3 linked regions of the Rhinolophus ferrumequinum genome follow. The protein of the gene in region 3 binds, or shares a complex with, the protein of the main gene of each other region. Links are inferred from orthologs where the notes say so. Each region holds a gene or a part of one and is shown on either strand. Other genes may lie near its edges. The genes, in order: FAM91A1, STX16 and TBC1D23.

What was found.
Region 1: the proteins of TBC1D23 (region 3) and FAM91A1 are in contact, whole or in part, in a crystal structure (PDB 8JJ9), measured with the Homo sapiens proteins. The link is inferred for Rhinolophus ferrumequinum from reciprocal best matches to the Homo sapiens genes TBC1D23 and FAM91A1. Residues at the interface, in NP_001186127.1 of Homo sapiens: Arg533, His534, Val535, Ser536, Ser537, Asp539, Val541, Gly542, Lys543, Pro544, Tyr545, Arg546, Val548, Pro550, Val551, Phe552; in NP_659400.3 of Homo sapiens: Arg49, Glu60, Arg61, Tyr64, Asp84, Ile85, Lys88, Gly89, Leu90, Arg91, Ile92, Thr93, Phe95, Ser96, Ile159, Pro161, Tyr176, Ile177, Thr178, Glu179, Asp181, Ile182, Lys190, Asp194, Ile197, Asp198, Tyr216, Asn217, Lys218, Gly219.
Region 2: the proteins of TBC1D23 (region 3) and STX16 are in contact, whole or in part, in a crystal structure (PDB 8QQF), measured with the Homo sapiens proteins. The link is inferred for Rhinolophus ferrumequinum from reciprocal best matches to the Homo sapiens genes TBC1D23 and STX16. Residues at the interface, in NP_001186127.1 of Homo sapiens: Leu638, Asn639, Ser640, Val641, Val642, Lys643, Ile644, Thr645, Ser646, Lys647, Lys648, Ser661, Ser662, Ala663, Ile666, Thr683, Lys687, Ile690, Met691; in NP_001001433.1 of Homo sapiens: Asp209, Asp210, Asn211, Thr212, Leu213, Tyr214, His215, Arg216, Phe218, Thr219, Glu220.

What each region holds. Positions count from the first base shown.
Region 1 is NC_046297.1:60,985,525-60,993,529, reverse strand, and holds the start of FAM91A1 (protein FAM91A1), read right to left. Parts: upstream 3,099-8,005; 5' UTR 2,845-3,098; coding exon 2,773-2,844; intron 1-2,772. UniProt on the Homo sapiens protein: As component of the WDR11 complex acts together with TBC1D23 to facilitate the golgin-mediated capture of vesicles generated using AP-1.
Region 2 is NC_046306.1:3,629,083-3,636,356, reverse strand, and holds the start of STX16 (syntaxin-16), read left to right. Parts: upstream 1-4,189; 5' UTR 4,190-4,984; coding exon 4,985-5,116; intron 5,117-7,274. UniProt on the Homo sapiens protein: SNARE involved in vesicular transport from the late endosomes to the trans-Golgi network.
Region 3 is NC_046285.1:29,495,184-29,502,747, forward strand, and holds the start of TBC1D23 (TBC1 domain family member 23), read left to right. Parts: upstream 1-4,488; 5' UTR 4,489-4,600; coding exon 4,601-4,653; intron 4,654-7,564. UniProt on the Homo sapiens protein: Putative Rab GTPase-activating protein which plays a role in vesicular trafficking. Involved in endosome-to-Golgi trafficking.

The sequences.
Region 1 (8,005 bases), on a different chromosome or scaffold from region 3:
TTTTAAATGTGGGGGGAGGCAGGGAGAAGGATGCATTTCATAATCCTGCTGACTTTAGAGACAAATTAAGGGAAATTTTCAGATAAAAAATTGGTTGCCATTTACTGTCTGAGTGTCTGATGCAGCCACTCATGGCTCCCCAGAATTCCTAAGCTGGGTTAATGAGGTCATATTATGAATGCCTCACTACAAATGACTTGAGTCCAGTGACATCTCATTAGGGTTAAGAGTATTTCAGGGATCCTTAATATTTTGATTTTTGTTTTCGGCAACTGGGTTTTATTTTATTTTATCCTATAATTTCAGTTCATCTAAATTTCGTGTTCTGTACATGTGATGTTTGACTGTATCATTGGCTGTTATGAAAGTTCAGTGTCACATGTCTCTATACTGCGGTGCACTTGTGGATTTTTTTATACCAAAAATATAGAAAGACTGTTTTGAAGATTTGAAAACAAAAAAGTGAATGTAAACTCAATCAAAGTACTTAATACCTCTAATGCCAAAAAGCAAATTCTTTCCATACAAGGAATATTCCCCACTTATAAAATGCCTGAGCTTGAACTTATCACCTGGAAAAAAATCTCTTACTGATGCCATCACTCATTCACTCCAAAAATATTTACTATAAGCTAAATATGTGATAGGTGCTTAAAATACAAAAGCGAGACAAGTAATGTAACCGGAAAATGCAACATAGCGGGATAAGTGCTACAGGTAAGAAATACAGTGCAGTGGTAACATATCCGAGACAACTGATCCAGATTTAGGAAGTCAGGGAAACTTTGCTGGAGGAGTTAATATCTGAGATTCAAAAAGAAGCTGCAAGTAATCTATAGGAGATGGGTAGTGACAGGATTGGATTTGCATTTTAGTAACCTGATCCCAGTATAGTGTGAAGAATGAATGGGAGGGTCCTATTCTAACGCAAGAGACCAAAGATAAAAGCTGGGGCAGTAACTTAGAGAAACAATGGCAAGGCTAGAGAAAGACTAAAGTAGTAACTTAAATACAGATGGGCTTTGCAACACCTTCTACAAGTGGAAACTTATCCTAAGCTAAAACAGCTATTCTTTTAAGAGACCTTACCCCCCAAAAAATTTCAATTTGATGTCACGTTTATATCTAATTTTAACACTGTTCTGTGATTATTTTTAATAATCATGACTAAGGTTTAAAAACATTTTTGCCAATATTAAGTAAGGTCAATTATTCATGTTGGACATAATTGAACCATCCATCTTTCTTCCTTATGCTACATTTATTTTTGTGAAAGGAAGAGTAGACAAAAGATGGAAACAGAGAAAAGAACAATTGTTGGTTCTTCCAGTGGTCTTTGGATATGCCAACAAAACCCTAAAGAACAAAAGTGTCCACCAAAGCCTTCATTGAAGCTTAACAAGGGAAACTTATTCCTTCAGGTTTAGAGTTTTGTTCTTCCAGGTCAAGCTAAATGCTACATGGGCAGCCAAGATTTCTGAGTCCCTTAAATTTATCTTTCTACTTTCCTGTCTCCTTGATATCTTAAAGCAAAAGCATTTGCTCTGCAATTTGATGCGCTGCCAAACCTTATTCATTTCCCAGAACTAAGCCCCCAAGCTGAGAGAGGTGGCAAAGGAATAACCTTACACCATCACCACCACCATGCCAAATTTTCCAAATAGAACTGCCCAATGGAAAAGAGAATTTCCCTCTCAACCACGCAGAATGGGAGGCACTTTAGGGTCAATCTATGATGAGAGAAACGGTGCCTCATATGGAGCAAACGCATCACGACCTTCATAAGATTTTTACACCACCTGCCATGTTATGTAGCAATTCATTTACTATCTTTCTTTCCTAAACTGTAAGCTCCATGGAGGCAGGGTCTTTATCTTGATGACGGCTGCAAATTACCACACCTAGAATAAGGCATAGAACGCAGCAGGTGTTCAATAAATATTTGTTAAACAACTTTGTAAAAATTAAGCTCCAGCATTTGAGACTTAACTCTCAGGCAAAAACCTCATGTCACTCTCTTAATGAAACATCTTTCACAAACCCATCTTGTCTAGAGAATAACGTCAAACAAAATGAAGTACAAAGCTTCTTCAAACTCTGGCCCTGACTGTTTTTCCAGCCTCCTCTGCTACCACCCGGACGCACTCAGAAAACCACACCTCCAAACAGATCAATGTATCTACACCTCCAAACTCGGGTGATATTAAGTCGCTTGCTGCTGTCGAAACATTGCTCTTTCACTCTTCCAAGCTTTTTAAAACGCCTCTCTCCCTGGGAAATCGTTATCCCCTCTTCTCTCCTATTCATCCTGCAAGGCCCAATTTAAATGTCTCCTCCACACGTCCTCCCAACACTCCCTGGACAATGTCTTCGTCCCTCCTCTGTGTGCCCACATATGCTGTACCACAGGTACGTATGCGCTGCCATCACCTGTAAGCATGCCTGTTTCCCACCATCCTGAAGTTCTGGGGGTCAAGTGTTTTCAATGTTTCGCAGGCGCCTAGCCCGTGCCTGGTTGAATGGAGGCTTCGGGCAAAGGCGCCAGGCGAGTCCAGGGTATGATACCATTCCATCCTTTTTTTGCAACGACCCCATCCTGCGTCTGTGGCCCCAGAGCCGCCCCCTCCTCATCCCCGGGCTGCCGGGCGGTTTTCCCGAGACCCTGTTGGGGGGAAGGGCGGGAGTCACCCGGCGGAAATCAGCCCGGAGCCCCGTGGGCGAAGCGAGCAGGTGACGGCGGGGCGGGGCCTCGGCCCCAGGTTGCGGCCGTACCTGTTTCACGTTGGCGGGCAACTTGCTCCAAGGGTAGTTGTGCCGAATGTGGAACTCCACGTCTATGTTCATGATGCCGGGCGCCCAGGCCGGCGGCTGCGGCCCCGACCGCTGCAGGAACGACGCCTCCCGCCTGCCCGCCCTCGGCCTATCGGGGGAGCTCGCGGGAGGCCCCGCGCCTCACACGGCGCAAGGCCCGGGCTGCCCCATGGCCAGGGCTTCCGACGGCTCGGCGCGGCCCGGGCCACGGGGCACAGGAGCAGCGGAGAGAGGTGGCAGAGGTGCCTCGGTAGCTCCAAGTTTCTTCCTAGTTTCGGCCCGCCGGAAATGGCTGTGGATTTGCGTCACTTCCGCCCACTGGAGCGAGGCTGGGGGGCGGGGCGTCAGGCTGGCCTCCTGCCCTGCCCTTTACACTGAGGGGCGGGGCAACCAGGTGGTGCCCGGAGGTACCCAGGTAACCGCTCCACCCCCACCCCCACCCACTCGCTACGCCTCCCGCTGTCAGTCTCTGGATGAATTAAGATAGGAGCTTGGGTCTGCATGACCACTGTTGGATGATCCACTTTCCCCAAAATGTGAACCCAGGTGGTCCCAAGAGCAGGCGATTACAGGCTCTAGGGTCAGTTGTGTGAGAAGGAACGACTTGAGGAGGCCATAGCTGGCTTAATAGTTCAAGAGCAGTGAGTCCCCTGGGAGCTCTCCATGGCCAACCCTGAACCCGGGCCAGGTGGATGGGGTCCAGGCTCACGAAAGAGTTTCTAAGTCAGAGCTTTCTCAATTGAGCGAGAAGCCGAGGGAGTGGTGTTCCTTCATTCCTTGTAGGTAGTTGCTGCATCTTGTGGAAAAGAAACCTTGGACTCTCCTTGGAAGGTCCAAATTCTTAAAATGCAGAGATTCAGGGAGCTGAAATTTTAAATAGCCGGTGCTGACAAATGGGGGGAGACCCAAAGGGAATCCAGGAGACAGAGAAAGATCCTTGCATGCAGCTTCTGGTTACTGCTTTGTTCTGCTCCATACGAATGCCTCCAGAGTCACTTTTCAAAGGCAGAAATCAGCCTACCTTAATTTCAGTTCTAGTGAGAGGATCTTTGGAAACAATTCCTTCCAGAATTTGTTACACTGGCTTACTAGCAAATCCATGACCATTGTTACTGGCAGCAACCAGAGACAAGTTCAGTATTTTTGCAACTACTTCTCAGTTTTAAACACTGGTTTTTATACACTGACACTTTAATATATGCAGAAATGTTAATAAGCGTCCAGACCACCCCTTAGCAGCTGGCTGTCTGAGGCATAGCAGGAACCCCACTATGTCTGATGAATTGAAATAAATGCGGTCCACATTGCCCTAGCATAGATGTATTAATCTCAGGTTATCCAACTGTAAGAGCCCATAACTGCTTTGGATCCTGTGTTTACAGATCTTTGTCATCATAACTAAATTTAACAGAACTCTGACCACGAGACATTTATTCAACAAATATTGATTACCTGTCCGCTATATAGTAAGCCCTTCACTTGCAATAGGTTCTTATTCCTCACAACCTTATGAAAGAATATGACTATCCCGATTTAATAGAGGAAACAGACTTGGCAGGGCTGCCTGACTAGCTCGCAAAATCACACAGGTGGTAGTGACAGAGCCAGACTGAAGCCCAAAGCTCTCATGCCAGAGGCATCCTTTCAATTCCTCGATTCAGACTCTCACTCACTGAACTGTTGTTCTGGCTCCTCTTCCAATTCAGATCATGTTCATTTAAAGTCAACAACATAAATCTCCCTCAAAAATAATTTTCAATATTTCTAAGAGTAGAAGAACTCACATTCTTCCCAAGTCTAACTCTGGTATAATGCAATGCAACAATGAAAATTAAATTCAACATCATTTTTAAATCCCTGTAAACAATTATTTTAACTAATTATAAGTTAAACGGGCGAACACCTGCTGAATTCATCTTTTTTGTTTATCAAAAAATATTGGCTACAGTGTGGACACATCAAAAACTACGAAAGTAGATGGGATGGTGGAGATGGACACCCACTGAATCAATAAGACACAGATCTTTGAAATTTTGACTATGAAAAGAAAAGATTCTAATTCAGTAGGTAGAATAGAAAAGATTCCAACTCAGTAGGTAGCTGAGAAAGGCAGAAATTTAAGGGAGGAAATGGTAATGTGTCAAAGCTATGTATGGGAAGAATCCAAACGACAAGCCCTTCAGAGTAGAAACTGGTGACAGAGTTTGGCTTATGAAATACAGGGTGTTAATTAAAGTGCAGGTATGCCTCATTTTCCCCAAGATGACTGCCAGTCTTTGAGAGACTGGAAACAAAGTAGTTCAGAGACCATAGGTTAACCCACAGGGCTCGAAGTCTTCCTCCAGTGGGAAGTTCAGGAACAGGACTGCTCCCTCAAACACCAGGAACAACTGCTCACTGGGCTCTACATATAGCACTCATTACAGCATCACGCCTTTTTGGCAAACGATAATTCCATCCCTTTAGGTCCTTGACTCAGACCCCTGCTATTGCTGCTTCGGTAGACCTTTGCTTTTCAAATTCCAGAGAAGTCAGAAACTGCAGGGTTAGAATCCGCGTCTCAGAAGCTGCCATCCAAATTATCCTTGTGGGTAAACAATGTGTTCAAAAATACAAGTGCAATGAGATTCAATCTTACCTGGCTTTACCAACTCAGACTAAGGAAAATTACCCAGTTGGCTTGGGCAAGCTGCCCTTCAGAAGCACTACAGAACTATTTCATTCCTGAAATTCCAACAAACATAATGAGCAGAAACAACCTGGAAGTAAGGAGGTGTCTGGTGATCTAATTTCAGACTCCAGAATATTATTCTATGTGTGGTATATCATAATGGCCCCAAAGGTGTCCATGTTTCAATTCCTGGAACCTGAGAATATGGAACCTCACATGGAAAAGGAGACTTTGCAGATGTGATTAATTTAAGGATCTGGAGATGGGGAGATTATCCTGGATTATCCAAGTGGGCTTGATATAATCACAGGTTCTTCATAAAAGGGAGGCAGGAGGGTGAGAGCCAGAGATAGAGATATGACAATGAAGCAGAGTTCACAGTGACTTAGGACCACAGGGCAAGGAATGTGGGCAGCTTCTTGGAACTGGAGAAGGAAACAGATTCTTCCCCAGAGCCTCCAAAAGGATCACAGCCCTGCCAACTCATTTTGGACTTGTGATCTCCAGAACTCTAAGATAATAAGTCCATGTTGTTTTAAACCACTAAATTTGCGGTCATTTGTTACCGCAGCCGCAGGAAAATAATATACTCCTCCAACAGTACTCCAAAACCCAAACAGCTGATGCATTAAATTTCACAATTAAATCATTGTAATTTAAATGTAAATACCCTTAGGAGGAATAAGAGCTTTTTAGCCTCATTTTTCTTTTCTTTTTTTTTTTAAGTATACATGAACTATCACATCCTTTTCTGAGGACAAGTTTGAAAGAGGAAGAACTCAGGGATTAAATGAGGCTATAAAAGTACCTAGAGAGGAGGAAATGGTGTGTAGATAAAAGAAAGGGGACGGAGCCATTGGAAACATTTTCTGTTTCGCAATTCTGCTTGGGCTTGACCTTGGCCATGGGTTTCCCTGCCACATATTTCTTTGCTCTGCTCCAGAATGGCAATTCATCAACCCGTGATGCTTGACACCATGGTCTAGCTTGTTCCCACATAACGGCTTTGGCCCTTGCTGTTCCCTTGGCCTTACATGTATGCTTTTCCTCAGAACTTTACACAGCAGGCTTCCTTCATTCTACCCCCTTGCACTGAGAGTGGCATTCTCCAACTGCTTTGTCCAACCTGGCCACGTCTTCCCCTCCTCTCTCTAACACATTACCTTGGTTTAGTTCTTTGGTTGCAAGAAATCACGGTCTGACATTATCCTACTTGGTTCATTGTCCGTCTTCTCAGCAAGAATCTTGTTCGTCAGCCTAACTCCAGCGTATAGAATCATGCCTCACCCATAAGTACTCAATAAATATCACTGAACGTATTGAAGGAGTGAACTAGTTATGTGACACCTGAGCTCTCAAATGTCACCTCCTCACTTAAGTCTTCTCTGACCACCTTATTCAAAATTGTAACACGTCTCCGGTCCTCCTCAGCTGCCTCCCCTGGATTATGGTTCTCCGGAGCACTTATTGCCATCTAATATATTTAACATAGTTTTAAAAATTATTCATCTCTCTCATTAGACTGGAAGTGTCCCCGAAGTAAGGGCTTTTGTCTGTTTCCTCCTCTGCTGTGTCCTCAGGCCTAGAACAACACATCGTTGGCACTTGATAAATAATAAATGAATGAATAGATGTTGCAGGGAGCAAAATTCTCATAAAAATCCAGATTTGAGGATTCTCTTGAAAATGCGGACAATCCCACAGCATTAGACACCCTTCCCCATGCCAGTCAGGGAAGCCGAGGACAGGCTGCCTGGCTCAGACAGAACACACGCTCTCTCACGGATCACATTCTCCACTACCTCCACTGCCTGTCACGGAGGATGTTGGTTGTGAAAACCATCCCGCTCACACTTCGTTTATTTGGGAGGAAAGAAATGTTTCTGTATCCTTGTCTGTGCCTGAAATACTACGCCATTGGCAATTCCCTAAATATGCCACACTGTGTAATCCCTTCAGGTCTTTGCACGTACAATACCCCTCTCTGGAATGCTTTCCTCTCCTTTTCTACCTGGAAAACTTCTCATCCTGACAGGGTGAATGGAACCCTAAAGAATCAGAAGGTGAGGATGGAGACATGAGAAGGGGCCAGATCACATGGGACCGTTTTTTCCTACATAATGGAGTTTCTAGGATTGTCTTCTGCAAAGGATGGAAAACAACGGAAGAGTTCCAAGTCTGTTTCAGAGAGAGGCAGAGAGATCCTCTGCCATAGAGCCTGGGAAATATTAATATTGTATATTTATGTACAACATAGAGCATGTTATATTTCTGCCATTTGAAGTTAGTGTGTATAGAACATTTGTAGCCTGATGTGGAAATGTACTTCTCCAATATCAAGCCATGTCACCCCCACACAAATGCTGAACAACTGTAATAGTTCAGGTGCCCACTAGGGGTTGATCTCACTCAACATTTCTATACCTAAAACTCGCAAGCTGTCTAGTTCCTCATTTCTGACTATTTTGGACTTTTACCCAAATCCATTCTCTCAGGCCTTGAAGTCTTTGAAATTCTTTCTCT
Region 2 (7,274 bases), on a different chromosome or scaffold from region 3:
TGAAAATGGAGACTATCTCATCAATTAGCTTAATTTTTTTCCTGCCAACCAAGAAAAGACCCTCATTAGTTACTATTAGTGATGGCCTGGTGTAGAGAGCACCTGTTTTCTGCTGAACGTCGCTGGTGTGGGCCAGAGGGAGTTGTTTCAGGGCCTCAATCAGGCAGTGACATGATGAGATTTGTGCTCTAGAAAGGTCACTGCGGCTGCAATGTAGAAGGTGGGTGGAGGAAAAGAGAGAGTGGTTAGTAGGAGGCTGTTGGAGAGACACGGGTAATGAGAACCAGCATTTGGGCAGAGGCAGTAGGGACTGGTGGAGCTGGGCACAGCCACTGCTAGATTTTTAGAAATGGCCACTGAATTGAATTATCTGGTTAAAAAAAAAAAAAAGAAAAGCCTAATGGACTTTGGACAACACAAAACTGTTGCCTCTCTGGAGTCTCCGGCTTGAGGGAGGCATCGTGGCTAAAGACAGAGCTCGGGAGTTTTCAGAGGTTGGAAATACTCAAGGTTTTGAGGAGCTATTTGGGGAGACAGAACACATGAGCTGCTGTTTCCTAAATCTGGCCAGAATCTGCCTATTATGTCAGATGTGTGCAAAGCAGACATTCATTAAGCTTGGGGGCTTTTGCTGCTGCTCATCTTGATAAAAGAACAACCATTTGTCTTTCTATAGGCACTAGAAAGGCCAAAGTTCAAAGGTGTCCAGTGGCTGTTTAAACCCCTCTTCTATGTGAGAGTACATCGTAGGCACGTCTGGATTCCCAGGCCACAGAACAAGAATCTTGAAAATGTGCTTGGAGAGTTTCCAGTTCCCACCACCATGCCTTGCTCTTTGGAGTTTGCTGTGCTGCCTTCCGGGGAGACTGGAGCCAACGGGAGCTCTGTGGCAGCAAGACGGCTGCGGTAATCGAGCCATGTTGCCCATTTACGGAGCACTTACTGTGCGCCGGGCCCCAGTGAGGGCTTCGTGAGGCCTAGCTCATCTAAACCTCCTCACCCAAGGAGGTGAGTAGCACACTGCGGACCCATTCTGTCTGACCACTAACCCAGCTGCACTAGAAACCTTCTTCCGTGCCTGCCATCGTCCCCCTGTAGTCAGGGAAGTCCATCTTTATGGTTCCCTGCTGCACAGATTAAGATGCCAAGAAGACAATGAAACACTTGTCTCCAAAAGTGACTTCTTGGATCCATTGGCAAAATGTTAGAAAGTGGGTCCGAAGCCCAAGAAACAGGACACCCAGGCTCTTTGAGCTTGGGGAGTATTACAGAATCCTACCCCAGGCCAAGAATGAGTCACAATGAAAGCTTTTAAAATATAAAACCATCAACCTAGATTTCAATTCCAAGGAAACACATACTTGGCCATGAGGGAATGCTTTAAAAAAAAAAAAAAAATCAGGCTTAAGCCACTTGACAGGAAAATAAAACAGCCAAGGAACATTCAAGTAGAATGATTTACATCCTGTCCCCTCCCGTCACCTCCCTTCCAATATGGGTCAGAGCAATCTCTGCCAGTCTGCACGTCCTCTCCGGGCTCCCCGCTTTTCACTTAACACTATTTCACGCATGCAATCCTGGGCCGGGTTAGAGCTGCCGGGTGCCGCCTTTAGGTTGCTATGCCAATCTCATGGATTCTTCATGATTTCCCTGTGCTTGGGCTCTTGGTTTGCTTGGGGTGGCTGTTTTGGGAATACGAAGATTTTTCTTCCATTATTTATGTGTGCAAGCACTGTTCATTTCTCTCGAAGAAACGGAAGCTTGATTGATTTCCTAACTGTAAGAAAGAAATTGCCCCGCGATAAATATTTAAGGCTGATGGGGAAGGGTGACCACCATCTGCTAAAACACCAGCTCAGGAATTACTCTCCCAGGGAAGGGAATAAATGGATAACCATCCTATATAATATTTGCTCAGTACCTGATAGTTTACAAAGGTGTTCACTTATCTCACTTGATTTTCACAATAACCCCGTAGAAGTAGACAGGGCATGGATTACAAGGATTATTAAAACCCCACATTTTTTCTTCACAGATAAGGGCTATAAAGGCTTAAAATCACTTGAGGCATGTCGCAGAGTTTGGTGACTGAAACGCGGGTCTCTAATTCATTCATACACATATTTTAAAAACATTTATCCGGAGCCTATTCCAAGCCAGAGGAAATGGCAGTGGGTACACAGATGAATAAAACACGGTTCCTGCGTAGGAGGAAGATCACGTTCTAGCCTGGGGGAGAGAGCCAGGAGAAGTAAACAAGTCTCTGCTTTGCAAGGTGATGAGTGTGCTCAAGAGAAAGGAACAGAGTGCGGACCACATTTCTAATCTGATGTTCTTACGAAGACCAGCTCGGTTGTTATTTACAACATCTGTCCTCCGAAGGGGGGAGTAAAGGGTCTTAGCTGTGTGCCTGGGGTCAGCTGTCACTGGGGGGAGCAGGGGGTCAGACGAAGTGTGGGGATAGAGCTCTCCCTCATTTGGCAAATGTGCAAATTTTCCTGGGTGTCGAGCTAAGCAGGCTCCCCGAATTTCCCTCCACGAGATAAATCAGGGTCTCTGCCTTTAGAGCGGCCGCAGCCTCCAGCTCGGGGAAAGCAGGCTGCTCGCTGTCTGCGGCTTACACGCGGCGGCGAGACGCGCGGCGAGGTTTTGTGCCGCCCGGGCAGGGTCCAGGCCTGGTAAAGTGCGAGCGAGCGCCCTCCCTCTCCCATCGCCCCGGCTCTGGAAGCCACAGCCCCTTCCTCGAATGTACGCGCCAGCCCGGCTCTCTGGCTCTCCCGTTTCAATGGTTCTTTTATTCTACACATTTTGATGTGTTTCCCAAGGATGTTTTTAACATTAATTTTTAGTTACACAAGTGACGCATAGAAACATTGTCTTTTAGAGACATGTACATGTATATATGTATATGTACTGGGTGGCCAGCGATTCGGCGGAGCCGGTTCAGGACCCCTCCAGCAGCCGTCCCAGGCAGCTGGCTGAGCGCCGACACCGGCTTTGTGTGGCTCCTCTTTGCAAGCCCAGCGCTTAGCACAACGCTCGGAAAGACACGTGTGTGTCAAGTTTGTGTCATGCAGGAACAGATGCAGGGATGAGGGCCCGCTCCCGGATTTCGGGGCGGTTTTCCTTTGTTAAGACCTCACTCCCGAGCCCTGCCCGGCGGCGGCCCCAACGTGGTCTCGGCTCGCCCGAGGAGGGGAAGCCGGCCCTGCCTGGGTCGCTGGGCTGGGGAGGCGCGGCCGCCCGGCTCCGCGACCCCAATCCGTCCAGCCCAGAACCCTCCATGCTGGGGTCCCGGGATGCAGGCCCGGCGGGACTCGGGTCTCCCTCGCTGGGCAGCTCCTGGCCTCTGCTCGCCGCGCTCAGACTCGGGCGGCTCGAGTCCCACGCGGACGCGCGGAGCCCCTGCTCGAATGCCGTCTACCCGGGCCCCTGGCTGCGAGGAGGGGTCGCCTGCCGTCCCCCGGCTTGGCCCAACCACGGGAAAGCGTGGGGCACCGAGCCAGGCCCAGCACGCCGGTGTGCGGGCCCAGTCGGCAGCAAAAAGTTGGTGGGGGTGGGGGTGGGGGCTGCCCAAGTTTCTGGGAACTTTTCGGCTTGAGATTCCACAACCCTGCAGTGCCCCCTACAGAAAGCGGCGACCGGGGAGGGCGGTCGCCCCCTACGACCCCCGATTGCTGGCGGCCTGGCGCTCTAGCTAAGCTCTAGCTCGCTGCTGCTTTCCCCCCCCCCCCTTGTTTTTCAGATACATCTTTTTTTAGAATTGAAAAAAAGCGAGCGCGAGCCGCTGCCTGCAGTGGAGCGTGCTCGGCCTCCAGAGGCAGTCGTCTCCAACTTTTCCTCTCCCGCCCCAACTCCGCTCGCGCCTCCAACTTCGGCTCTGCTGGAGCCCAAATTTGCCTGCCGCGCAACTCCACTCTAATGTACGCACCCAGGCCACGGGCAGCGGTTTGCAGCGTGGGGGCCACGCTCCCAAGGCTCAGGCCTGACCGCTCGCCCGTTTCCCGTGCTTAGGCCCAGTTGTGAAAGTGGAAACCAGGCGCCCCGGGAGCACCCCGGGAGGGGGCGGAGCGCTCCCGCGCCCCGGGGCAGAGGGGCAGGGAGCTCCCGCGCCCGGAACGTTGCAAGCAAGGCTTGCGAACGTTGCAGGGGGGCACTCGCGAGAGACGGACAGGAAGAGGGCCAGGGGGGACGCCAGAACCCGGGACCACAGTACGGAAACGGCCCGGGGCTGAGCTGCAGTCAGATCCGGGGATGGAGGGAGCCGGAGAAGAGGAGTGAGGAGGCCGGGAAAGCAGGCCGTGCTGTCCTCCTGGAGGCTGCAGCCTGCTGTGACAGTGGAGGACCAGTCCACCCAGAAAGGGAAGGGGTCAGGAGGTCGGGCCTGGGCTTTAGCAGGCTCAGACAAGGCCCAAGGAGGGAACACCAGGCACCCTAGAGTTTAGGGCCCAGGCTTGGCTGGGGTTGTCCAAAGGGGGCCTAGACCAGGCCTCTAGTAAGGAAACTGAGTCAGAATCAGGCCTTAGGGCTGGGCCCAGACGCGTGCGAGCCAAGTTAGGGGTAGGGGACCAAGACCCTCGAGGGTCTCCGAGACTAAGGGGGGTAGGGGGCTTCAGGGCCTCCGAGTCCAGAGCTGGATTGGCGAGTTAGACGCTTGTAGATCCAAGGTTGGATTGGGGTGGGGTCTCTGGGACGTTGGCTAGCGACGCAAGGATTGGGGGGATTTAAGTGCTTAGAGATCGAAGGCAGGACTTGGGTAGGGGGAGTTAGACAATTGGAAAGCCTCGGTGGTTAGTTGAGGAGGGGTCTTTGCGTTTTGGCGAAGCGCAAAGCTGCGCCTGTTTGGCTTGAGGTCTGAGGCCTTGTCAAGAGAAGCTGCTGTGAAGGGTGGGCCGACTAGGCCAGGCCAAGAGAAAGAAAGTGAACAAATCAGGAATATAAGTGGGCGGGGGGCCCCTGAGCGGGGGGTCACAAAGGGTGAGACATGGCCACCAGGCGTTTAACCGACGCTTTCTTGTTGTTGCGGAATAATTCCATCCAAAACCGGCAGCTGTTAGCCGAGCAAGTGAGTAGTCACACCACCTCCAGCCCTCTGCATTCACGTAGCATTGCTGCGGTGAGTCTCCCGGCGGCCTCTCCGACACACGCACCGTGTGCACTGCGGCTCTGCCTGTCTGTCTGTCTCTGTCTGTCTCTCTGTTTAAAAAAAGAGGATAAGAATAATACGGAAATGCAAGGTCTCTTGGCTACGGTCCTGGAGCACCTATAACCCTGGATGGGGAAAACCAGTTTTAGGCCCTTGCTCCATCTCTGCCTTGCCTCTCTCCTCACTTCCGCAACCCTCCCAATTCCCCCCTCCCCCCCCCCGTCGTCACTGCACGACAATCCGCCTCCAATTTACATATGTTTTAACACTAAGATTTGGAAGCACGGAGGCTTTCTGCAGCCTTTTTGTTTCGTTTTGTTTTAAACCCCCTCCCCCACCCCCCCATACTGGGCCTCACTTTGGTTCTAAGGGCCGGGTTGCGGAATCGCAGATCCTAATCCTTGCAAATGAAGAACACCCTCCCCCAAACGAGGAAGGAGTTGTTGGGTTTTTTTTTTCCCCCTCCGGTTTTCTTTTAATGGCCTCGCAGCCCTCTGTGTGGCCGTGTTCCCTATGAATAATTGCTTCACTGTTTTTCCTGGGGGCTTATGTTTGTGAGACTGTAAGGTGCTAGATTCTTCGTTTTCCATTTCCCAGACAGGAAATTAAGCTTTTCCCTCCATTCGAACTTTTTTTTTTAAAAAAACATAATGTGAAACATAATTGTGAAAATGAACCCCTAAATAGCCCATATTTTTGATTTAATTAACCTGAACCTTTCTTTAGCGCAGCGGTAGAATCTTTTACAGGGAGGGCTTGGGAAGATGACTGATGTTTTTGTGTTTGTTGAGGAGGGCTACTTTCCCTTTCTGAGCCTCAGTTTTCTGCTGTTAAATAAGGGGTGTGGGCGGTCTGGGTGATCTGTACAAAACAATGATGATTATTAGCCTTGTCGTATCTTAAATGGAAAAGTGAAGTTATGAAACTAGTTTGTAATGCGGGCTCCTGGCTATAGATAGGCCAGGTTTGAGTAGAAGCAGCATTGAAGAAGGAGGGAACAAAGTCATCCCAAATCAGATTCTTGGGGATTATACTGGAAATATACAGTTTTGGGAATGTCACACTTACTTCACCTCTTAGGGACTGTATTGTCTTTGAGTTTTTGTTCTTTACGACTTTATCTAAATGCTTCAGTAAAATTATGCTATGTGTCTTCATTATTGACAGAATGTCTACCCAGACAATTTTTCTTTTTTGTAAATCACAAGTGGAAACTCTTTGGCCATATTGTTCCTATAGAAAAGCTATTCTAAGCCGTGTGAGCAGTTTTAGGAATAAAATCACGTATACTCAGATAAAAAAATCATAGAAAACAGGGATGGAGTGTGTTTAGGTTATTATTTCCTTAAGAATTGGAAGGATTTTTGCCTTTGTAAACTGAAAGAAATGGTATTATACTGAAATAATTATAAAATGGGAGTGGGCTGATTCCAGGCTAATTTTGAAAAGAATATTCTGAAATAAGCCAAGAATTAGAGAGTTGAAATTGAATGAATAAAATCCCACACTGGAACTTGAGATTTGTTAAAGAAGATGTAAAAATCACATGTTCCTTAAATGGATTGATTTTATGCTACCTCATTGGGGGGGAAAAACAACTAAAACTCGTGTCAATGTTTCTAAGGTATCAGTTTTAATTGATTTGTTTGCTTTTAAATTTTTATAAGATTCAAAACACCCTGAAATGTTGGGTAACATGAGACTTTTTTTATTATTAATCAGTAGGTCAGACGGTTTAAAAACCTGGTGTCCGAGACGGGCAGCTTTTAAAAAGTGCATCTCTATCTCAAACCGATTTTTAAAATGGTTTTCTAAGTAGGCAATTAAAAAAATGCATAAGCTAAGTCAAATAACTAAAAACTAATAGCTAAAGTACACGGTTTGGAAAAATAGATATGCCAGAAAATGTACAGATACATGTAGATAACTCAGACAATTTCTTGAAATTAAATTTCTAAATCAAACTAAAGCTACATGTCTAAGTCAACATTAAAAATATTTTCTGTATGTTTTGCCATTTAAAATGTTACATACTTATACTAGTCTGACTGTTTAACATCTCAGATCATAAACAATCAGAGCATTTAAAATATTTTATGGTCAATTCAGTCTGTCTAAAAAATAGATT
Region 3 (7,564 bases):
ATACAGCAAAGTACAAAAGAAAGGCTAAGGTTGGAAATACAAATCTAGGAATTATCAGGTTATAGGTGGGAATTAACAACAGAGAAGTAGTTGATATTGTCCAGAAAAAGAAAAAAAATGTGTGAGCAAAATTATAGAGAAGAGATTCTTTATCTAAAAATTTGTAATGCTTTTGTACCTGTGGTATTTTCATATTCATTATATCCTAAGAATTCTTTTTAAAAATAAAATTTTGTACTCTCCTTGTGTGAATTTAAAATTTAGAACTAACAGTGATAATCTGTACAATTTAGCATGGGTATTACAGATACCAGCCTGCAAATAACAGTCACAGAAATTGTGACATATGCCTATATTTTTTATACATATTGTTCAAAGTACCTATCATGTAATTCCAACAAATTAACTTAAATGGTTCCTTGCTAATTATTTTATTTAGCAAGACAAATGCCTAAGAGGAAGGCTGAGTACAAGTGTTTGAGGGGAATGGAGACAGATTATACATGAATAGTATAGCCGTTGTCTAAGGATACTGTTTACAGATTGTGTGTGTTTGTTCTCACAAAAAGAAAGAAGTTAAGTCTCTCAAATTAAGGTTACTTCCACCTAATATATTGTTTACTATCCCTGTTTCCAACCAACAGGGTTTCAACCTTAATAAGAGCCTTTTATCTGGAACAATAGGGAATTAGTTTGGAATGAGGAAAGGGTGAAACAGACTCCCACATTAAAGCACAACCGTCCCAAACCCAAGAATGGGTAAATCTCTACCTAAATGTTTACTTTGGATCCATATACATCATTTATGAAGAGTCAACTTCAATTAGCAAAGACAACTACTAGAAGGATAATGGAGAAATAATAAAGAGTCTAGCTCCTCTTTATCATTATTTGCTCAACATTTTTAAATGAATTAATAGCAGATGTTGAAATTGATGCCAACTGTTCACTTATCATCAGCCAATGGGAATTAATTTGGTTTTGCTTATCGTTAAATTAAATGTTAGGCCTCAGTAGTTTAAAGTGTCTTGGAATGCAGGTCCTGATGGGATTTTAAAGTTACAAATAACTGAAGTAATTTTGATAATTGTGGAAACATTTGTCCTTGTAAGATAACAAGGAAAATTCCTGGGAAAGTTAAGAATTCTGAAATTCTCACGTGATATTTGAAGAAACAAAAATCAATGTTTTGTTATTTAACAAGAACTTTTGGGCACCATATACTTTCAGCCCTACATTTCTCATCTCAGAGGCTATGACAGAAATTAAAAATGGTTGCCATTGTCAGAGTTAAAGAATACAAGATGCTGTAGTGCCCAGATGAGAGGGCCTGCTAATCATTTTTCACAAGTTCAGAAGAGATAGAGCTTGAGGAGAGCTGAGATGATATGGGCAGGGATGTCAGGACCGAGTTTGATTGAACCAAGAAGATTGTGCAGGATTTAATGTTACCTCAAGTGGCCGTCAGCCTCTAAGATGACCCTTAGTGATTCTTGCTTTTGGGTATTCAAGCCTTTTTGTAGTTCCCTCCTATGCTGAATAGAGCTGACCTGTGTAACCAATAGGCTATTGCAGAAATGATGGAGTGTGACTTTTTGAAGCTAGGTCATAAAAAATATTGTGGCTTCAATCTTGGTCTCTCTTAAACTTTCATTGTAGGGGGAGCCAGGCTCCATGTTAAGAGGAACTTCAAACAGCCCATTGAAAGCCTCATTTGGAAAGGATGGTAGGCATCCTGCCAACAGCCAACACCAACTTGTCAGGCATGTGAGTGAACCACTGAGGACGTGGGCCCTCCAGCCCCACTGAAGCCTTCAGACAACTACATGACTGCAATCCTGGCCAATATCTTGCCTGTAACATCAAGAGTCGCTGAGCCAGAACATCCAGCTCACAGAATTTGTGACATAATAAATGTTCATTGTTTTAAGACACTGAGTTTTGGGGTAATTTTTAAAGCAGTAATAGTTTAATACATCTTATTAGGTCTTCATTTTTACTAAGAATGCATGAAAGTCAAGGAAAGATTGCTTGAATATGAATATCAGAAACTAGGATCATTTCTCTCTCTTTTTTAAAGATATGCTACAATAATATTATAATAAAAAATGAAATAAGTTCTACTACACTAACATAACAATTGACCATACAGATGAGTTCACAACTACCTGCCCCTGACCCCAACTAGCCATTTCTATGTAGGTGAATGATTTCACCCATTCCAAAATACTGCAAAGAACAACAACAACAAAAAACACATCAATAAAAATCCCCTTAGTTCATTTAACAAATATTTATTGAGACTAGACTATGTGTCATAATATGAATTAAGTACATACAATACAATATAAATTGCATAATTATATGGCACAGAGCATCAAATAATAAACGAAAAATATTTTTGTTTTTTAGTTTTATTCAAAACCAAAAAAACAATTTTTTTCTCCATAAAATATGCAATTTGATTTTATCCAAAGATAATATGAAATGACATCACAGCTTCCTCTTTGGGTGTGGGAATACAATTAGCTGCACAAATGCAGGCAGGTAACACATCCTATGCAGATGACTGGATGGGCCTTTCTTAGAGACATATGTTGGAATGGCTGCCTTGTGCACAGATCCAGATGGTCCCCACCAGTAACGTTACCTTACCACAGCACAAGGTCTAAGATTCCAACTCCCTCTGCTCCAGAGGGATATAAAGAAATATAGCAGGAGCTCCTAGTATTGATGAAATCTTCTTACAACTAGGAGAAGGCAGTAATATAAGAAAACACAGGCAGATGATTTCATAATAAAATCCCTAGCTCTTGAAAAGTTTTTTTAAAGCAGAAATCTACTAGAATTTAACAAATTCTACTTGCCATTCCATGCTTATACTTTTTTTTAAAAGCATGTAATAATCCAGATAAATGGCAGGACTTTGAGATTTTTTTCAAAGCACAAAAATACTCAGAAAGTTACAGCCATAAAAACTTGTAGCCAACTAAAAAATGTTTTGTGGGCAAAGTGTGGTCCTTGTCATCTCAAGAAGTGAGGCATGTTGGGGAAAATGTGGACAAACCTGATCCAGAGCAAGAGGAAGGGCTGAGGATCAGAACTGTAGCAGTAACTCAACAGCCTGGATATCAACAAGCCAAACTCAAGCAAATATGGTCGACAGTGAACCAGTGGAACCTGTTCAAGAAAGAGGAACCAAAGACATACCAAGGTTAAGGACTTGACCTAACAACCAGATTCCTAGAATTACCACTGGAATAACAGGATATCATCTTGGTGATTATCATGACCTTGGAAGGAATACTCAGTAGAACATTGAACAGGTTGATGCATAAATAACAGATGATACCAATATTCCAGAAAATATCATTGCTAAACATTTTCAATTGAAATCTTGTCTCCTACTGTCAGTAGTTTCCGAACAAAATCTGTCTATTGCTGTGACTAGTGTCTGGCTGTGTTTATCTTTGACAATTGTCATTTCAATTTTTCTATATATCATTCTCCTGCATTTTTTAAAAGCACTTATGCGTCTACTCATAAACAATATATTTTCTTGTCTATTTTTAACTCCAAATTTAAACTACCTGTTACCTATCCTTCCGCACTGTTTTGTTCTTTTAAGATCATGTTTTTCATATTTATCCATATTATTACATGTAGCTCTACTTCATCAATGTTGGTTTCAGGGCTTGCAGAAGTATTTTTGTAGGTCCATCCTCCTAGGTCTGTGCCCACCCCCGGGCCCATGAATGATGAAGGGGAGACAAAAGGCCGGTGATTGGGGGGGGGGTTGTGGTGTGGTCTGAGCCTGGACATGGAGGAAGCCGAGGTGGTCATCCATGCGGAGTGAAGGGGAAGTAGGGTGAGAAGGAACGTGGCAGCCCTCCCTCTTGGAACTCCAAGAGTTCTAGCATCCTAAATTTGGACTTGACCTTCCAGGTTGTTATGAAGATCTATTTATAAAGATGGAAGGCTGGAACATATTTCCTTTACTGTTTAGCTTAGAAAAAAAAAAGGTTAAGCATTCAGACATAAAATATGTGGCGTCCATTTGCAGTTTTGACAGGACCCCACAAACAGGAGTGGGCTTGTCATTTCTTTCACTCGACTTTCCTTAATTCCAGTTGTTACAGTAGGCAATGACTGAAACGTGTCTACCTCCACCTTCTTTGTGAAATTCCCACCTCCTCGTCTCCATCACTATTAAGGACTGTCGATGCTGACTTTGTTAAGTACGACGCCAAGATGGAATGAAAACACTAACTGGACGCAAAGAAGCGACGCTAATAAGGGCGTCCTACCGGGAGATGCTCCCTCACCAAGCTTCGCCAACCCCGCCCAGCCGGAGACCCCCGCGGCATTCTGGGACATGTAGTTTTTGTCGGGGCAGCCGTCTCCACTAAGTCTCCTCCCCCACAGCTGCGTTTGGCCCTTGGGTCGTCGTGACGTTGCGTTCCTCCAGTCCCTTGCCTCCTCCCTCTTCCTTTCCCTCTCCAGAGGCTCGGTTCCAGGCTTCCGAGGACCTTTTACGACATTGGGTCTCAGAGTTGCTCTCGGTCCACTTTTCGGCAAAGTGACGTGGACGTCAACAGCAATGGCGGAAGGAGAAGAGGTCCTGCCACTGTCAACGCCGAGCGACGACCGCTGGTGAGTGAAAGCCCGGAGCTGATTCTCACTGCCCCTCCATTCTTCCTTCTCACCACCCTACCTGTCTCTGAGGCACCAACAGGCGCCGGCATGGAACCGGAAGACCCGTCCTCAACCAAGTGCAGCGCCCTGCCCCGCCCCCTCTGCTCGCCGGGTCCCCTCAGCCAGCCGGCCGCCCGAGGGGCTAAAGCCGGACTCGAAGGGAGAGGGGTGTCGTCCAGCTACTGGGCCTCAGTTCGGTCCTCCAGCTTCGTCCACGGGTTTCCAAAATGCCTTGGAGAGGGTGGCTTCAGGGCTGGGTTTGGCCGGAGTCCCTGGCCGGGGGAGTAAGAGTAGGCTGGTTGGGAAGTTTCGCGGATGCGGATCTGAGGCACTAGCATACCATTTAAAGAACAGATCACTTGAAATGACTCCTGCGATAGTTGCCTGCGGGTTCAGAGGTGGAGGGACACTCCCAGGGAGGATCCCTCTGAAATAGTTGAGATTTTTTTTATCTTAATTTTTTTTTTTTTTTTTTTTTTTGTATTTCTCTTTTCGAGTTCCAACAATTTCCACCGTTCGTCTCTCTCATACCAGTCGTCCTTTGCCTTCCTGACACTTTCCTCACAGTTCGATCTTCACAGCTTTGGATGCGGTGTGCTCTTGCTCCTTTGCGTGCTTACCTGATTTATACCCGGGGTTGTGGGGAGGATCTCCAATAATTTTTTGCTAGACTTTAGTCACCCAGTGTCGTTAATTTTGGGGAAAAGCTCCTATTGTTGAAATAGTTGATCTTCACAATACATTTTTAGGGACATCATAAAATATGGAACCTTTAGAGGCTTGTCGAATTTTTACACTCGATCTAAACGTATTGACCACCTATATTAGTTTTAGATTTCCTTGTTCGCCGTATGCATACTGCTCACTGGCACGCTGTTTGCATAAAAATAATACAGGGCATTTGTAGACGTGGACTTTAATCCCCAAGAAAGAAAGGGAAACCATTGAAAGGGATTGATAATAGTAATTGAGAAATTCATGGAAGCAGAGTTGTTTGAATTAGGCCTTGAAAAATGAGTAGGATTTAGATCAGTGCTGTCCAATAGAAGTGTAATGTGAGCCACCTATATAATTTCAAATTTTCTAATAGCCATATTAAAAACTAAAAAAGAAGCAGGTGAAATAAATTTTAGTTATCCATTTTATTTAATCAAACCTATCAAAGTAGAATTAGATAATTTTACATGTATTTTGTACCAAGTCTTCAAAACACAATGTATATTTTACATTTACCCTACATCTCAATTTGGTATTGCCATATTTCAAATGTTAAGTAGCCACACGTGGCTAGTGACTAACATATTGGATAATGCAGTCAGATTAACAGATGGAAACCGTCTCTGAATGGAGTAATAGCACGAACAAGGACATAGGCAAGAAAACTAATGATTTGTTTGGAGAGTAATGACTAGAACTTCGTGAAGTTTGCTGTTTGCGAAGAATGAATTGTTGTATCATAAACTGTAATCAGCTGATTGAAGGCCAGGAGGGGAAATGTTTGTAGAGTTAAGTGTCTTTGAGGAGTTCTTTGGTTAGGATTGTGAGCATGAGTCTGGTTCACAGGGGCAAGGAACATGGAATGAATGATTGCTAGAGGTAGCATTTGTTCTCTTTGGTGTGGCTTTCTTTTTTTGCTTTTTTTTTTTTTTTAATGAAAGGAGGTGTTCTGTGATTTCTACTCTCTCTCCATTCTTTTCTAATTGCTCCTTTTTCTCTACTCACTACTCACCCGTCCCCTAGAAATGAGTCTGAATAGAGTCAGAAAGGACATTCAGAATTGGAGCCATAGGTTCGGTAAGGCCTTTCCTTTTAGAGTGCTTGGTGAATGGGTTGTTAGGGAATGGGGAGGGTTTACTTCAAAAAAAAAATGCTATCACATTTTTATTGTAACTTTTTCAGATGGAAAATTTTCTGAAATGTGTTAATACATCTCATTGCCTAACCTAAACTCATCTTAGTGACTTAGGTTTATCGAGTTTACAAATGGTAAGTGATAAGAATAAAACTAGGTCTCTGTCCTCAAGGAATTTGTGGTCTAGTTAGGAGAAGCACGTTTAAGAACATCAATTACTGTTACAATTCTGTAATACAGTGAGACCTTTGGGTCCTGTCTAGGCAGGAGGGTGCATTGTTGCTGTTAAATGTCCCTATACAGCCATCCCTTTTTGAGATTGCTTTTATTAGTCTTTCCCGTTTCCTTTCTTTGTTGTTAGTGGTATCTCCCAGTTTGTTCCTAATCTGAGAAACTAGGTAGCTGAATGTGTTAAAATTGTGTATACATTTGTAAACACAAAGGCTCAGGATGAGGCTTGAAAATCTTAAAAGTATAAGATGTCACTTTTACTTATATACTGGTTTTCAGTTATGTTCTAGATCAGAGCTTCTCAAAATTTAAATTTGCGTTCGGTTTTCCTGAGGATCTTGTGAAAATGCAGATTCTGATTTAGTAGATTTGCTTGGGACCTGAGATTTTATATTTCTGACTGATTAGTTCCTGGGTGATGGCATTTCTGCTGGTTCATGGACCACATTCTAGTTAGCAAGGTTCTAGACGATGTATATTTCAGTTCCCTTTGGTGACCACTAAACTGTTGTCTGTGCCTATGCGTTTTTGTTTTTTGATTTGTTTGTCTTGTTCCTTTGTTGCCTTCAGTTTTATATCCCACATATGAGTGAAGTTACTTGGTTCTCGACTTTTTCTGTCTGACTTATTTTGCTTAGCATAATAATCTCAGAATCCATCCATGTTGTCACGAATGGCATTATTTCATCTTTTCTTATGGCCGAGTAGTATTCCATTGTGTATATGTACTACATCTTCTATATCCAGTCATTTATCGAAGGACACTTTGGTTGTTTCCATGTCTTG